Caenorhabditis elegans: one gene and its partner. The protein of the gene in region 2 purifies or fractionates together with the protein of the main gene of each other region. This does not show direct contact. Each region holds a gene or a part of one and is shown on either strand. Other genes may lie near its edges.

Region 1 (8,733 bases), on a different chromosome or scaffold from region 2:
CGTTCATTTTCGGACAAAAATCGATAATTTTTGAAAATTATCGATTTTTTAAAGGAAATTTGATTTTACTGATTTTTTGTGCTCTTTTTTCTTATTTTTCATAATTTCTCAGGATTCTTATAATTTTTTTTCAGAATTTTTGCAAATCTACCAATTTTTCCCATCAAAATTCTCGATTCATTTACGCGTATAAATACAAAATTCAGTTTTTTCTAGAAAAAAAATTTAGAACCAAAAAAAAATTAAAATCGCTCTATTTAAACTACCAAAGACAACACAGAAATCGAAAAAACAATCGATTAAAAAAAATCTTAATTAAAAGCGACATTTTTGCTCGTTTCCGACTTGATTCCAGTTGCTCCTCGGCCAGTGTTCTTTTTGGTAAGTGGTGGTGAACGAAGTGGAAGTGATGGAGCCGGAAGTTCTCCATATTGTTCTTCGAAATATCGATTAAATGATCGATAAAATGCTTGTTGTCCACCAGCCAATTCGAATTCAGTCAATCGGCGGACTCCGAGGTCGGCGAGAGTTCTTTCGCCCGTCAAAATGTCCGATTGTACTTCCTGAAAATGCAAAATTAGAAAAAATCAATAATTTCCGTAAATTATCGATTTTTTCGCGAATTTTTTAATCAAAAATCGATAATTTTCAAAAATTATCGGTGGAAATTTTTCTATGCGATTTTTTTTCAACAATTCCGATTTTCAATTGAAAAATGCGAAAAATAGAAAAAAAAATCAATAATTTTCAGAAATCTTTGTTTCAAAAAAAATTCCGCGGAAATTTTTCAACAAAAAATCGATAAAATCACTTTTCCGACAAAAAATCGGTAATTTTTAAAAATATTAAATTTTTTTTATTTTTTTAAGATTTTATATTCGATTTTTCTTTTAAAAAAATTCCGATTTTTATCTGAAAATTACAAAAATAGCAAAAAAAATCGATAATTTTCAGAAAATTTTGAATTTTTGTCGGAAAATCGGAATTTATCGATTTTTTGAAAATCAACAAAAAATCGATAATTTCCGTAAATTATCGATTTTATTCGCTAAATTTTTTTTTCAAAAAAAAAAATCAATAAAATCCATTTTTCGACTAAAAATCGATAATTTTGAAAAAATTTTCGATTTTTTTCGAATTTTTTTGATGAAAATCGGGTTGTTTCCGCCACTTCTACAAAAAAAATTCCTCAAAATTGTGCCTACGCCTACCTGATTTAACAATTCAACGGTAGGCACAAGGCAGGCGTAGGTAGGCTTTCCGAAATTTCCAATTTTTTGACTCAAAAATCAGTTTTTTTTAAGTGTTTTTCACTTAAAAAATGGATTTTTCCGTAAAAATTGCCCGATTTTTGGCGGAAAACCGATTTTTAATTAAAAAAATCTAAAATTTGAGGCGTTTTTGCTCATTTTAAGCCCTAAAACCTACCACAAACTCCATCCATTCTCTGTTGAGTGGAACTTTACACTTGAACACTTTACCATAGAGTTCGGTGGCCATTGTGAGAGCCATGAAATATGGATCCGGCATTCCGTGACGCTTGTATCTGCAAAAATTTGAGCTTTTTCTCGGGTCCCGCCACGAAAATAATTGAAAAATTCGCGATTTTTCTCGAAATTTCACGCCTGGGTCCCGCCGCCACGAAACAATACCTCGCGGGTTACTGTACTCAAGAAATTTTTTTTTTTCAACTTTTTCGTGGCGAGACCCAAAAAAAAATGTAGTTTTCACGATTTTTACGTCTAAATTTATATTTTTTAGCCAATTTTCATAAAGTTCACGTTAAAAATCATCAATTTTCAGTGAAAATATTGATTTTTTTGATTTTTTAAGGTCTCGCCACGGAATAATATCTCGCGGGTTACTGTACTCGTGAAATTTTCGTTGCGAGACCCGATTAAAGCTACAAGCCTAGAATTTTGAGGAGAATTCGAATTTTCAAAATTTCCTGATTGATGCACAACCCATGTGCCTTTAAATTTGAAAAAAATAAAGTTTTCGTGGCGAGACCCAGTTTTCACGATTTTTAAGTCCAATTTTCATGAATTTCTCGTTAAAAATTATCAATTTTCATGATTTTTTTGCCCAAAAATTAGCAATTTTCCTTCATTTTAGGCCAATTTTCGGCGGGAAAATCGAAAAACCGGGTACCTGAATCCAAAATCAGACAAACAATGCGCTTTTTTGTACATGAAATCAATCAATTCAGACAATTGATAGCAGTGTGGTCCAACAAATTCATAAGTATGTCCTTTTGCTGTTGGATCATTTACAGCACTTTGAATTCCGGCGGCAACGTCTCCAACCTGCAAGAAAATCGGAATTTTTCGCCAATTTTCTCGAAATTTTGATCAATTTCGTTGAAAACTCGGCAAAAAATGGTAAATTTTGAGCCAAAATTTGCAAATTTCTGTGAATTTTTTTTGAAATTTTACGGATTTTCACTCCTTTTAATGAAATTTCGCGCGAAAATACCGTTTTTTAATGGAATTTAACCAAAAAATTCAATATATATACTTGCCATTTTTAGCAATGTTTCAACAATTTTTTTCAAGTGAATATGGGAAATTACCGAAAATTGGAATTGATAACATTTTTAAACGATTTTTTGTATGTTTTTCGTCAAAAATCGTCAATTTTCTTCAAAATTTTCAATTTTGGACCAAATTTCAGCCATTTTTTGTCATTTTTGGCCAATTTAAACGTTTTTAAAGCTTTTTTTTTTATTTCGCTTATTTTCGCAAATTCCACCGTTTATAGGCAGTTTTAGGCCGAATTGTATGTATTTCGAGTAATTTTTTGAATTTTCAAACAAATTGGGCCTATTTTGAACAATTTTCACTCATTTTTGGCCGATTTTTCTTTTTTAAACTAAAACTAAAAACTAAAAAAGCAACCTGCAAGAAAATCGAGATTTTTTTAGTGATTTTTCGCCGATTTTCTCGAAATTTTGATCAATTTCGTTGAAAATTCGGCAAAAAATGGTAAATTTTGAGTTATTTTTACTGAAATTGTGCGAAAAATGAATTGAATTTTGGCAAAAATTCAAGGTTTTGAGTCAAAATATCCAAAATTTGGTCATTTTTCGCAATAAAATGGTGCCTACTTATGCCTACCATCAATTTTTTTTCGGCAGAAATGGACAATTTTAAGCCAAAATTTGCAAATTTCGGTGAATTTTTCTGAAAAAATCATCATTTTTGATGGAATTTAAGCAAAAATTCGAGATTTTCAGTCAAAATTTGTCATTTTTAGCAATTTTTTGACAATTTTCTGTGTGAAAATCGAAAATTTTGTTACATTTTTGAGGAGAAAACGATTTTTGCCAAAATTCTACCAATTTTCGACTAGTTTTATCAAATTTTGGGTGAAATTCCGAAAATTTTCAGTTTTGTGCCAAATTTCAGCCATTTTCAGTCATTTTTGGACAATTTAAATGGTTTTAAAGCTTTTTTTCATAAAATTTCGCAAATTCCAGCGTTTATAGGTAACTTTAAGCCTCATTTCCTTGAATTTTGAAATTTTTTTTCTCTAATTTTTAAGCAAATTAAATAAATTCCATCAATTTTTAGCGAATTTCACATATTTTGAGCAACTTTATATGAAATTTCGAGACTTTTCATAAATATTTGGACTCATTTTAATTGTATTAAAAGCCAATTTTTATGAATTTTGACATTTTTCAGTTCATTTGGATTTATTGTAATGAATTTTGAGTCATTTTTTTCAATTTCAAGCGAATTTTCATGAAATTTCGTAGATTTAGACCGATTTTCACGGATTTTCGACTTTTTATTTTTAAAATTCAGTTATTAGGTCAAATTACACCATTTTTGGCCGAGGTTTTGAGTCAAAATATGCGAAATTTGGACATTTTTTGCATTTTTTCGCAAAAAAAAAATTGTGCCTACTTTATGCCTACCGCCGCCTACCATCAATTTTTTTTCGGCAAAAATGGACAATTTTAAGCCAAAATTTGCAAATTTCGGTGAATTTTTCTGGAATTTTACCGATTTTTACATTTTGATGAAATTTAAGCAAAAATTCAAGTTTTTCAGTCAAAATTTGTCATTTTTAGCAATTTTTTGACAATTTTCTGTGTGAAAATACGATTTTTGCCGAAATTCTACCAATTTTCGACTAGTTTTATCAAATTTTATGAAATTTTGGGTGAAATTCCGAAAATTTTCAATTTTGTGCCAAATTTCAGCCATTTTCAGTCATTTTTGGCCAATTTAAATGGTTTTAAGGCTTTTTTTTCATAAAATTTCGCAAATTACAGCGTTTCTCGAATTTTGAGTAATTTTTCCGATTTTCAAACAAAAATTGGTCATATTTTGAACAATTTTCAGTAATTTTTGGCCGATTTGTTGGAATTTTTGACTTTTTAAATTTAAAATTCAATTTTTAGACGGACTTATGCCAATTTCCTTGAATTTTGAAATTTTTTTCTAATTTTTAAGCAAATTAAATAAATTCCAGCAATTTTTAGCGAATTTCACGTATTTTGAGCAACTTTATATGAAATTTCGAGACTTTTCATAAATATTTGGACTCATTTTATTTGTATTAGGCCAATTTTTATGAATTTTGACATTTTTCAGTTCATTTGGATTTATTGTAATGAATTTTGAGTCATTTTTCTCAATTTCAAGCGAATTTTCATGAAATTTCGTAGATTTAGACCGATTTTCACGGATTTTCGACTTTTTATTTTTAAAATTCAGTTATTAGGTCAAATTACACCATTTTTCTCGATTTTCATGAAATTTTCTACTTTAAAAAAAAATTTTTTTTCGTCATTTTTGGCCGATTTTCACGTATTTTAGGTCATTTTTCATGAATTTTCGCCCAATTTTCAATATTCAAACAATTTTCAGCCATTTTTGAATTTTTATTGACTAAAATTCAGTTTTTTGGTCAAATTACTTCAATTTTTTTGAATTTTAAGTAATTGTTCAGCATTTTTGGCGAATTTCACGTATTTTGAGCTTTTTTTAAAATGTATTTTATGAAATTTTGATTAATTTCGTTCAAAATTCGGTTGAAAATGGATTTTTCTATAATTTTAATCAATATTAACGGAAAATAAAATTTTTTTGACAATTTTTAATGTGAAAATCGTAAATTTTCAAAAAATCTCGGTTTTTGTGAGTTTTTCGTTAAAATATTTAATTTTGTGCCAAATTTCAGCCATTTTCAGTCATTTTCGGCCAATTTTCACGTATTTTAGGTCATTTTTCATGAATTATCGGCCAATTCCGTACCCAAATCGGCATTTTATACGTTTCTTCTCCCTTCTTGTACAAATACACATAATCCAATGGAGTTTTTCGCCATCTTGACACATAATATTGAATAAATCCATCCAATTCACCGTAGATCACAGATGGGCGAATAATTGTTGCTTCTGGGAATTCTTCACGTACAGCAACTTCTCCGAGTCCTTTTGAATGAAGAAATTGCGATTTTGCGACAAAATGTCCCTTTTGTGGTTGTGTAGTTGCTCCGAGAGCCGACAAATGCACAAATTTCTCCACACCCATTTCTTTGCAAATTCGAGCCAAACGGCGGGCTCCCGTGTCGTTGACGTCATAGTAATTGTACTTTCTGCAAGGAAAAATGGCTTAAAATTGGGATTTTTAGAAGGAAAAAGTGGGGAAATTTGAATTTTTCAATAGAAAATGGCAGTTTTCTCGAAAATTTTGGAGAAAAATTGAGCAATTTAGTTTTTTTTGAATTTTTTAAAAATATTTTTTGAATTTTCAGTGAAAAAAACGGCGCGAAACTCAAAATTTTGAAGATTTTTCGGACATTTTTCAAATTTTTAGCCAAAAAGTGGAGCCAAATTCAAAATTTAAGGGGATTTTTCAATTTTTAATTGATTTTCAGTTGGAAAAAGTGAGGAATTTTGAGTTTTTCAATGAAAAAACTGGAAAAAAAGAGCTTTTTTTTTGAATTTTGAATGATAATTTGGTGTAAAAAAATTTATTTTTTGAATTTTCAGTAGGAAAAAAGGGTTAAATTCCACATTTTGAAGGTTTTTCAGGCATTTTTTCGAATTTTCAGCGAAAAAGAGTGATTTATTTGGTCAAAAACGGCGCGAAATTTGAATTTTTTGAATTTCCGGCATATTTTGTGAATTTTTCCGCTCAAAAATCTGCAATTTCCTCACCCAGTCGGCACACGAGTTCCGATCAAGTTGATGACGACGTTCGAGTACTTTACAGCCTGAAAAATTGATTTTTTCTGGATTTTCTAGAGAAAAATCCAATTTTTCTCGATTTTCACCTAGAAAACTCTTTTTTTTTCGGAATTTTCTAGAGAAAAAACCTAATTTTTCTCGATTTTCACTGAGAAAACTCTATTTTTTCTGAATTTTCTAAAGAAAAACCCATTTTTTCTCGATTTTCACTGAGAAAACTCTATTTTTTCTGGATTTTCTAGAGAAAAATCCAATTTTTCTCGATTTTCACCTAGAAAACTCGATTTTTCTCTCAATTTCCACGAATTTTAATACCTTTCGAATGCTCTCCTCATCCATCAGCTCAAATGGAAAATAGAGGACTTGTCCGAGCTCGCCGAGCACTTTGTGCTCTCTCATGTAATACGGATCCTGGCGATACGGAATAATGATTTGTGAGCCATTTTTCGCGAATTTATTGACAACTGGAAGTCCCAAGAAGCCTGACGCACCGAATACGGTCACCACATTGCCGGAGAAGGAGGCTCTGCAAAAATTTGGAATTTTTAACGATTTTTTTTGGGAAAAAATTGATTTTTTTTCAATGTTTTTTCAATTTTTCCTAGATTTTTTCCACATTTTCCAGTTTCAAATCATTCTTAGGCTTTTCCTGTACCTTCCACCGGCTCCCTTTCTGAATTGAGCACTCTGAGAGCTGACACGTGGCTCCGGATGAGCATTTTCGGCGGAGGTGACCGCGCTGCTGAAATTCTGACTTCCAACGACCGAAACCGCCTGCCGGGCGCCCAAGCCGGATCTACCCAACACTGATAGCATGGCTGAAATTAGGAAAATCGAGATTTGCAATTGTTTAAAGATTTTTAAAGATTTTTAAAGACTTTTTAAGAATTAAATGGGTTTTCTGCGTTTTTTCGGGATTTTTTCCAGCTAAAAATAGCTTTTCCGGTCGAAAAAATCGATTTTTTATCAAAAAAGCACCGAAAATAGCGAAAAAATCTGGAAAAACCGCTAAAAATGGCTGAAAATGAAGTACGCGGTGCCGAAATAAATAATTTGGCCTGTACGCAATATGGCGTCGGGTTTGACGTTTGCGGACTCGAATGCGCACTTGGAAGGGCGGGGATTGATGACCGTACTCCAAGGAGGAATGAGAAGCTTTGAAATTAGCAAAAATTGGTGAGAAAGGCGGTTTTAAAGAGAGTTTTCAATCTAAATTGTTGAAAAATTAATGAAATATTACTTTTCTTGTTTTACATTCAAGAAAAATTATTAAAATCTTTGAATTAAATAGAAATGCGAAGTTTTCAAGGGATTTCTTCAAAATGTGCGAAATTACAGAAGAATACTGGTAGATTAAACTGAAAATGACATCAAAATTCTCAATTATTAATATTATACGCTATCGAGATAATAAGCATTTATGGCTACAATGTATACGCCTCTCAAAATTACGTTCACATTGCTTTGTGGCTTTGCTGGTAACTCTTTTGCCTTTCACGCAACACACCGGGGTTCGACTCCGCACTGTGGTTCTTTTCTTTTTTTTTCTCGATTTAACCAATTTTAGTCAATTAAAATTCAAATTTAACGATTAAAACCAATTTATTTATCACGTGGAACCCAGAAAAGGAGAAAATTTCGGCCTAAAAAAGTTGAGACACTTGTTAAACGCCGGATTCCTGAAGCAATTCGAGCTGCACTCGGCGGCTAGATTCGGCTGGTCGACTGAAAACATTTCATGGCAAAGTAGGCATATTCTCGTGAGCACTTCGTTTAGAGCCGGTCGTCGGTAAGCCTGGAAATCAAAAAATATTCCGAATTCTTGAAAAAATGCGGAAAAAATCGGCGAAAAACTAGGGTTTTGAATGATTTTTCTCAAATTTTTCAATTTTTTTCAGCGAAATATCGAATAAAAATCGATATATCTCCAGAAACCCCCGAGATTTCCACCATTTAAGCAAAATTCTCAATGGAGCGCGTTTGCAGCTTCGTTGTTCGCTAGAGCGCACTTACTTTGCAGTTCCTCGAATGGTGGTCGGGGCGGGAAAATGAAAATCCGGCAAACGTGACGATAAGTAAGAAGAATACTGGAAAAATCAATGGAATTGTTTAGGCCACAGTGGTTTTTTGGCAGATATTTAGAGTTTTAAAAAATAATTTTCACAGAAACGTTGGCCGAAAGTTAATTTCCAGCGGCGAAATCGCGGAAAAATGGAGCTTTTCGAAGAAAAATTTCGTGGCCTATTTTTTCAGCTGGTTTTTCTTGGCCACGTCTTAAAATTTGAAAAAATTTGATTAAAAAGCAAATTAAGCACGTTTTTCAAAATTAAAAGTGAAGACATAACGCGTTTCTCGAAAAATTTGCAATTTTCTAGAAAAATGCTGCGTGGCCTAACTTTTCCGGTTATTTTTCTAGGCCACGTCTGAAAATTAGTTTTTTATTGAAAAGCAACGAAATTTTTCAAATTTTTCATACTAAAACTGAAAAAAATAGATTCTTCACGGAAAAATTTCACTTTTTGTGAAAA
Region 2 (7,922 bases):
TATTACATCTTTTTCACTTTTTTATCCAGAATTTTTGTCTCAAATCAATTATAACATTTTAAGCATTTGCTTTTCAGTGTTCAAATACGCTCATCCCACGTGAAAATGAGCCAGCAGATTCAGATGAAGTCTGTTATTGATGTGAAGTTCCCGACGGTATGTTTATCAGCTCAGGAGAATATACTTTTCATTCTTGGAAATTTTCAGCATCTGTTTTCCCCGCTTGCCACGTCATCACCAAAACTCACGAGAATGAGAGCTCCGATTCGCGATCAGTCGTGGTCCTCTTGCTCGGATGACTCCAGCGGAAATCTGACGTCTCAAGCAATCACTGGAGTCGATGATTCGCACATGTTTGTTGAATCATCAGATTTATTTAAACATGATTTTTTGTTACAGAGAAGCGACGAAACTCGAAAATGAAAGCAGTACATCTTCGTGCTCAATGCACACTGCTTTGGAGTTTGTTAACTCATCAATTTTCGAAAGAGTGCGGTCGTATTCAGAAGTGATCACACGCGAAGAATTGCAGTCAGCTATTTTCGAGCGGAAACTGACTGAAACGGACTGTTCAAAGGAGGAAGCTGAAATGTATTCGATCATTGTAATTTTCTATTTTTCTAATTTAATTTTGTGTATCGATAACATTTCAGGTCACTGAGCGTATACTCTGGACTGCTGGGCGAACGTGGACGGGAACGATTCAAGTTAAGACTAAAGATCTTCTAAATGACTACGTGCGTTATGCATGCGAGGATTGGTACATGAAGTAATCGGCTATAATCTCAGATTAGTCATTTAATTATTAAAATTGTAGGCACACCGGACAACTCTGCGCAGTCGAGCTCAATCATATTGGCAAATGGGATGAGATATTTGATTCGAATGCCATCGCCATTTACTGCTACGAAACCGGTATTCCAACAATAATCGTCGACCGAATCTTCTCGAGTAACCTAGTGCGTCGTTCAACGGGAAACTATCTCGATACGAAAGAAGTGACGTGGCTCATATTTGCGATGATTGGGACTGACGAGAATCAATCGATCGAGTATTGGTTCCGCGTCCTTGATGTGCAATCTACAGGAATCCTTCAATTGGACGACCTGCGGATGTTCTACGATGCCATCACAAAGTTTCTTGTCAATAACAATGTGCAATCCCTGCCGTTCGAAAACGCTATCGCTCAATTTCGGGACATCCTTGGCACAGACAAATGGAATCTGCAATCATTCAAAAAGAACTCGCAACTTGCCTTCAGAGTGATCAATGGCTTTGTCTGCGCTCTTCGCTTTCTTGAGCAGGAAATTTGTGAGAGTATGTTTTAATAAGATAAAATGGTTGTTTATGTTAATAACACTGCTTTCAGAAACGAACACCGAACGCCAAGATGATGAGGAATTTGGGATGGTTCGGACTCGTTGGCAACGTTTGATCGACCACAAATTTGACGATTACTATGCTCAATCCAGCACGTCATCATCAGGGTCGTTCAACATCAATAACGAACCAATAAATCCTGTTTAAGTAATCCTAAAGTTTAATCATGTCAGATAATCATTCCCTATTGTATTTAATCGCCTGGTCCCATATCTTATGTGCAATTTTCACAAATTTCAGTATTCTTGTAAAATGTCAGGCGGATTCATGTAAACAATAAGATTGTTCCTGCTCATCTCGTTTTACTGAACCTGCAAGAATATTTTTGAAAAAAATTAATGGGTTTTCAAAACGATTAGATTGGTGGGAAATGTTAAAAACTATGAAATGGGCTTATAACATTATTTGTTAGATTTTTGTGCCGGAAATATGGTGACCGGGTCTCGTTACGATAATTTTTTGCTAAACACTGCACCTTTAAATAATACTGTGATTTCAAATGTTCAAACTGTTTTTTTTTGAATCACAAAAAGTCTAAAAGTTTACACAATTCACTTCTATAGTTCGTCAAACTGGTTAGTCTCTACAAATATCTCTAAATCTCTTCACTTTTTCTTATCTTTTATCACCTGTTTTCTGTAGTTTTCAATTCTTTGTCTAATTGTATTGGTCATTTGCTTCTTCTTTCTATTACTTTTCCATTTAATACATCAAATTTTGAAACTTTATAGTTTTTTCGAAACTATGAATACATCCGAATTTTTATACAAATTTCGTTTCATCGCTGATTTTGCTGCTATTGGAATTTTATGTTTTATGGCAATTATGACACTTGTTGTTATATATTTGACAAGTGATATTATTAATGAAATTGATGAAATGAAAGATGTTTTTATGGATAAAAAGGCTACTTTTGAGGTGAGTGTAATAATTCATTAAACTTTTCTAAAAACTGAAAAACTAAAATTTCCAAACTCACATTTGAACATTCTAAATTTTATTTCCAGATGTATGCGAACGATGCTGAAAATCTAATGTCGAACAATCGCCACCTTGACGGATTTTCTGATATATTCGATACTTTGATAAGGATACCTAGAAGATCTTCAAATTCCTGTGATCAATAAATATTAATACATATATAAAACCCAGGATGATAAGATTGAAAGTAATAATTTACTCGAATACCGTCCCACTCAAATTTAAAGTGTACACGTTTTTTTCAAAGAAAAAATGATGAGGGAGAGGGAAAATTGACAGAAAAACGGGAAATCGGGCAGAGAGCGAATGCAATCGGATTGTGCACAATAAAACGGGTCAAAACGGATAATTTAGATGGGAGAAAAGGGGGAGAAAAATAAATTAGATCCATAAATTTGTTGGTTACTTCTTAGTTGATACAACAACCGGCTGATAATCTGGATTCTTCTTCAAAATAACCAATCCTTCAAGATGTGGAGTCACAGAGAGATCTGAAATATTTTAGTTAAAAATTAATTATCAAATGTTAGGATGGCATACATTCATCGTTCGCCAACTCGGCACGTTCACCATGGGCAAGCAAGACTGGCGTAGTATGAGTTTGGAATCCAGTGATTGTCTTTGGCTTTCCGGCTTGAGCAACAACGTCAACGGCTTGACCAACACGAACAGAAACGTTCAACTGTAAAATCACATTGGAGAGTTGAAACTTTTAAAAAAATTATACCTGTTTCAAGCTTCCAGGCTTCATTTCGTCTTCTACCAGTGTGGTAAGCATTCTTGGTTGCATTGCGAGCACCAACGTGTAGAGCAAGTAATGCTGACGGTTGTTGAGAATCTAAATTTGAAATAAATTATGGTAGAAATATCAATCTTGCACTAACCGTGTTATTGGCGTCGAGGAAAGAGAAGCAAATTGAAAGGAGAGAAGCCAAAGCACTTGGAGACAATAATTGCCTATCAGAATGCCATGGGTTCAACGTCATTGTTCCTTTTCCGAGATGAGTAAGTCCTTGTGCAATTCTGACCAGCATTAGAGAAACTTGATCCTTGTAGTGATAAGAAGCCAGGTTTCGGAGCATAGCAACAAGACGAGCATTGTTTGTTCCTGCTCCAACAAGTCCCATCGCGAAAATAGCATTGTGAGCGGTATCAGCGTCAGAATCGTGAGAGAACTTGGACAGAGTTTCCAAAATGTTCAATTGAGGATTTGAGACGGAGAGAAGTGACAACGCCAAGGGAACAGCACGACGGATAACTGGTTCTCCATATCTGATGAGATGTCCGAACATGCGAAGAGCCATCTGAGATCCGATGTCATCTCCCATAGCAATCAGACCAATTCCGAGTACAGCAACCGCCTGTTGCGATGACAAGTCTGGCTTGGCAGGTGGTGCTGGAGTAGCGTCGGCGGCAGCAGTCTCTGGAGCTCCTGGTGTAGCAGCACTTGCGGCTCCTGGAAGGTCGCGTCTCGGAGCAGCTGGGGCAACGGCGGGTGTTCCAGTTGGGGCTGGAGTGCCAGCGACGTTGACATTTCCAGGTTGCGCAGCAGGACGAGCAGGTGTAGCAGCAGCTGGGGCTGGTCCACGCGGTCCACGAGAAGCGGCAGTTTTCTTCTCAGCTGCTGGCGTCTCGTAGTGTTCAGAGCAGAGATGGAGCAATTTCTGGATTTTCAAAACATTTCCAGTTCCTGCGTATGCACAAACTTCAACGAGCGTAGAAACCTGAAATTGTATTCATTATGATATGAACAAGGGAATAGCCAAAACTCGAGGTGATCTAGAACAAATAATACTTACCATCGCTCCAAATGGATCAGGAAGTGAACGGAGACTTTCGACAAACACATCACTCTTGTCCTGAGTTTGCAAGAAGATCAATGCAATTCCCAATGCAAGGAAACGCATATTTGGATCTGTGAGCTCAGTTTCGCTTTTATCCATTAGAGCTTGAAGCATCTCCATCGCAGCTTCCGCATCAGCAGTTCCAACAAGAATGAGGCCAAGAGAAAGTCCAGCAAGTCCTTTAACTTCAGGAATAGCCGATGGCTTTTGATCAGAAAGAACTTTCTTGAGCTCGAAAATAACACCGCGTTCCTCATTCTTTGTAACGGTTTCTCTTTTGGAATTAGCGTAGGCAAGTCCAAGTCCAAGAATTGATCCTACTCTCATAATTGACCGATCAGATTGAACATGATCAAGGAGAAGTGCGGAAGCAGGGTCACAAGCATCTTGAATTCCAGAGGAAATAATACCAATAGCCAAAAGGGTTCCAGCCTTGATATAATCGTCATTGATATACAAGAATCTGTCGCATTGTGCCAGGCCGGTATCGATATCCCATCTCCAGATAAGACCCTGTGAGGCGGCTGCAGTAAGCATTCCATATTCCTTGTTCTTGTAGAACCATCTGGAGGCTTCCTCTGTTTCAGCCATCATTTTATCAACTCCGAATCCACAGTTCACGAATCCATTCACCAACGCAGCGGCGAGATTCATGCGAGTAGAGTCTGGCTGAGCAGAGTTTCCGAATGGCCGGGAATGTTCCAAATGAGATTTGTAAATTCCTTCTGGAGTTTTAGGCTCCATAATGTCGAGCTCACGAGCCAAGGAGTGGAAGTATTCATAGAGATGAGCATTGGAATTCAGTTCGGCAAGAGCATCCGAATCTGCAGATCCCTCGTAGTCAAGGAAAATCTGATGGCGACCGAGCAAGATAGCCATTTGCTTTCGAAGCAATCTGAAAACTTTTCTTTAGGAAAGTAAGAGACGTTATATTTAACTTACGGGTCAGATGCCTTCGCAAATATTTGATGAACCTGTGGAATATCGTTGACCATGATAGCACATCTAACAGCTTCAAGATACCGGTTGAATTTCAAATAGAGTTGGAGAGCAGTGCGAATAAGAATAATGTTATCCGGGTCTGGAGTCAATGGGGCACATGAAAGAAGATAAAGGCACACACGTTGGTGATCAACTTCTTGGACATAAGAGATCAGCAAATCAATACGCTCAATTTCGATGAGCAAATCGCACGCTTCAACTTCTGCGTTGTGTTTCATGTGATGGCTGACAATATCCTGAGTCAACTTAAGGAGTTCAGCTTTTCTCGCATCCGAAGTGCCTTCCTTCTTCCACTCCTCTGACATTTCCATCGCCAAATGACGAACGTATTCATGTCCCCAATCCCCGATCGGCTCGTGTGATCCAAGAATACGATAGTTGATCGTGTCGGTTCGCTCATCTGATGTCATTGCGAGCACTGAAATGATATCTGCGCAAAGTTTCTTAACGTCAGGCGCCACGATCGATGTGAAAATCTCCTTCATTTTATTGTAATGCGGACGCATAAACTTGAGAGGTTTTGGAACAGAGGTCATCGATGTGGTTGAAGCACGAATCAATGTCCGCATAGTCTCCAGTGATGGCTTGTAAAGTGTTGTGTCCGGTTCAGATAAACGCTGAACAAGAAGATTGAGATCCTCCTCGAGTTTTTGATCCTCTTCGCTCTGAAATAAATAAGCTATAAGTCTCATTACGGCTTAAACAATAGTTATTCTTTAAACTAACCATCTCTTCTTTTTTTGGCTCAGCTTTCTCGGGAACTTTTTTATCGTCGGCTTTCTTTTTGTCCGCCTCTTTTGGTGTCTGTTGAGTAGTCGCCACCATTTTTCGATCCTTCAAAATATATGTATTCGAAAGAGAAGCTGAGATTTCGAAATGAATTTTATAGAATTAACAAAACAGTTAAGTCACGAAGAAACTATAACAGCGTATTCAAATACTAATTCCCTCGAAAACGTGAATATTTTTCAACTTTATGAAAACATCGAAAAATAACTATTTTGAGAGTCAGAGTTTGGAAAAAAGGAATAGAAACTAAGAGTGAAATACATCTAATCCGAATAAAAGAATAAAAAAACAACAAAACGATGACAATTGGATTAGAAAATCTGAAAATCCGCGCCGGTTCGCGGAAAAAATGATAATTTGAACAGACTTTGTTTAAAGGCGCAGTCATCATGCCGGCTGGTGGGTCTCGCCACGAATGGCTCCGATTCAAAATACGTGGACGAGTTTACCACGTCTTTCTCTTTTTTTTGCTGAAATTATTGTAATTTAAAGATAGATTTTCGCAGAATTTATGCATCAAATCAATATAATACACTTGAAATTTGCTCTTATAATGAATTTTGCTGATTTCACCAAACAAAAATATCATTTTTCTAGTCTGTACATGCGAATTTTTGCTGCTAAATGATTTTGTGACAAAATAAAGTTACTCTGTGCTGAGATTGTAATAATAGATAATTTTTTAACACGAGCTGATTAATTAAATTCCAAATAGATGTCGTCTTGCTCGATCAGTCGAATTTCATTCTTGAAACGTTTTAATATGACATTTTTGGGTTTTCTGCATTTTTGATTGTATATCTAATTTTTCCAGATGCGATTGCTATTTGCCATCGCTCTCCTGGGGGCGGTTTTCGCTGAAGACGCTTGGAAAGCCGCTAATGTTGACCGAACCATCGATGCCACGTCACAAATTGTCAAGGTTTCGACATTGTATTCATTTGAGAACGTTGGAAATGGACCTCAATCGAAAGTTTTGGTATGTAGATATATTTTTCCTGAAAATTCACTATATTTCCTATATTTCAACTTTATTTTTCAGATTGCTTTGTCTAAAGAAGAATCTGCTACTCTTTCTTTCATTTCTGCTGGAATCGATGGAAGCAAAGGAAAATTGAAAATTTCTGAAAAACCAGCCGAAAAGGATCTTGCAGTTTACGAAGTAGACCTCCGAACTCCTGTTGCCAAGGGAGCCAAAGTTACCATAAGAATCAATCTTCGTATCACACAAGTACTTGAGCCACTCCCATCCAAGATTCAGCAATCTGACAGTCAATTTGTTGTTCTTCACACATCTGCATACGTTCCTTCCCTGTACGAAACTGTGACCCAAAAAACAACTATTAGAACCACTCAAGGAGGCAAGCTTCTATCCGCAACCACAGTTTCTCCATCGAAACAAGAAACGGAACGTGTCATCTACGGACCATATGTTAATATCCCAGCTTTTGAGACGAAACCAGTCAAAGTTCATTATGAAAATAACTCGCCATTCGTTATTGCCACCATCGTGGAAAGATTCATCGAGGTTTCTCACTGGGGAAACATCGCTGTGGAGGAGTACATTGAATTGGTTCACAAGGGAGCTGAGCTTGATGGTCCATTCTCAAGAATCGATTACCAAATGGACCGTCGTGGACGTCGCCAACCAGCACTCCAACAGTTTACCACAGTTCTTCCTGCTCAAGCTAAAGATATCTATTATCGTGATGAGATCGGAAACATTTCTACATCCGCTGTACGAATCCGTGCTGACAGCGTTGACGTTGAGATTCGTCCACGATTCCCACTCTTTGGAGGATGGAAGACGTCGTATGTCATCGGATACAATTTGCCATCGGAAGAGTATTTGTACAGCAAAGGAAATCAGTATGCTCTCAAAACAAAGTTGTTCGATCATGTGTTCAATGATATTGTTGTAGAGAA

What was found.
Region 1: the proteins of rpn-1 (region 2) and nduf-9 fractionate together in Caenorhabditis elegans (co-fractionation; one large-scale study listed by BioGRID). This does not show direct contact.

What each region holds. Positions count from the first base shown.
Region 1 is NC_003281.10:3,241,553-3,250,285, forward strand, and holds nduf-9 (NADH dehydrogenase [ubiquinone] 1 alpha subcomplex subunit 9, mitochondrial), read right to left. Parts: upstream 7,024-8,733; 5' UTR 7,022-7,023; coding exon 6,861-7,021; intron 6,732-6,860; coding exon 6,521-6,731; intron 6,232-6,520; coding exon 6,176-6,231; intron 5,611-6,175; coding exon 5,268-5,610; intron 2,307-5,267; coding exon 2,152-2,306; intron 1,547-2,151; coding exon 1,429-1,546; intron 564-1,428; coding exon 312-563; 3' UTR 165-311; downstream 1-164. Other genes in the region: Y53G8AL.4 (Apple domain-containing protein), read right to left, coding at 7,815-8,000, 8,219-8,292.
Region 2 is NC_003282.8:6,903,873-6,911,794, forward strand, and holds rpn-1 (26S proteasome non-ATPase regulatory subunit 2), read right to left. Parts: upstream 6,042-7,922; 5' UTR 6,033-6,041; coding exon 5,934-6,032; intron 5,873-5,933; coding exon 5,148-5,872; intron 5,101-5,147; coding exon 4,161-5,100; intron 4,086-4,160; coding exon 3,246-4,085; intron 3,200-3,245; coding exon 3,089-3,199; intron 3,044-3,088; coding exon 2,902-3,043; intron 2,853-2,901; coding exon 2,764-2,852; 3' UTR 2,548-2,763; downstream 1-2,547. Other genes in the region: T22D1.5 (EF-hand domain-containing protein), read left to right, coding at 106-156, 208-353, 400-604, 654-769, 818-1,317, 1,370-1,527; T22D1.17 (Col_cuticle_N domain-containing protein), read left to right, coding at 2,125-2,298, 2,388-2,507; ribo-1 (Dolichyl-diphosphooligosaccharide--protein glycosyltransferase subunit 1), read left to right, coding at 6,811-6,975, 7,039-7,922.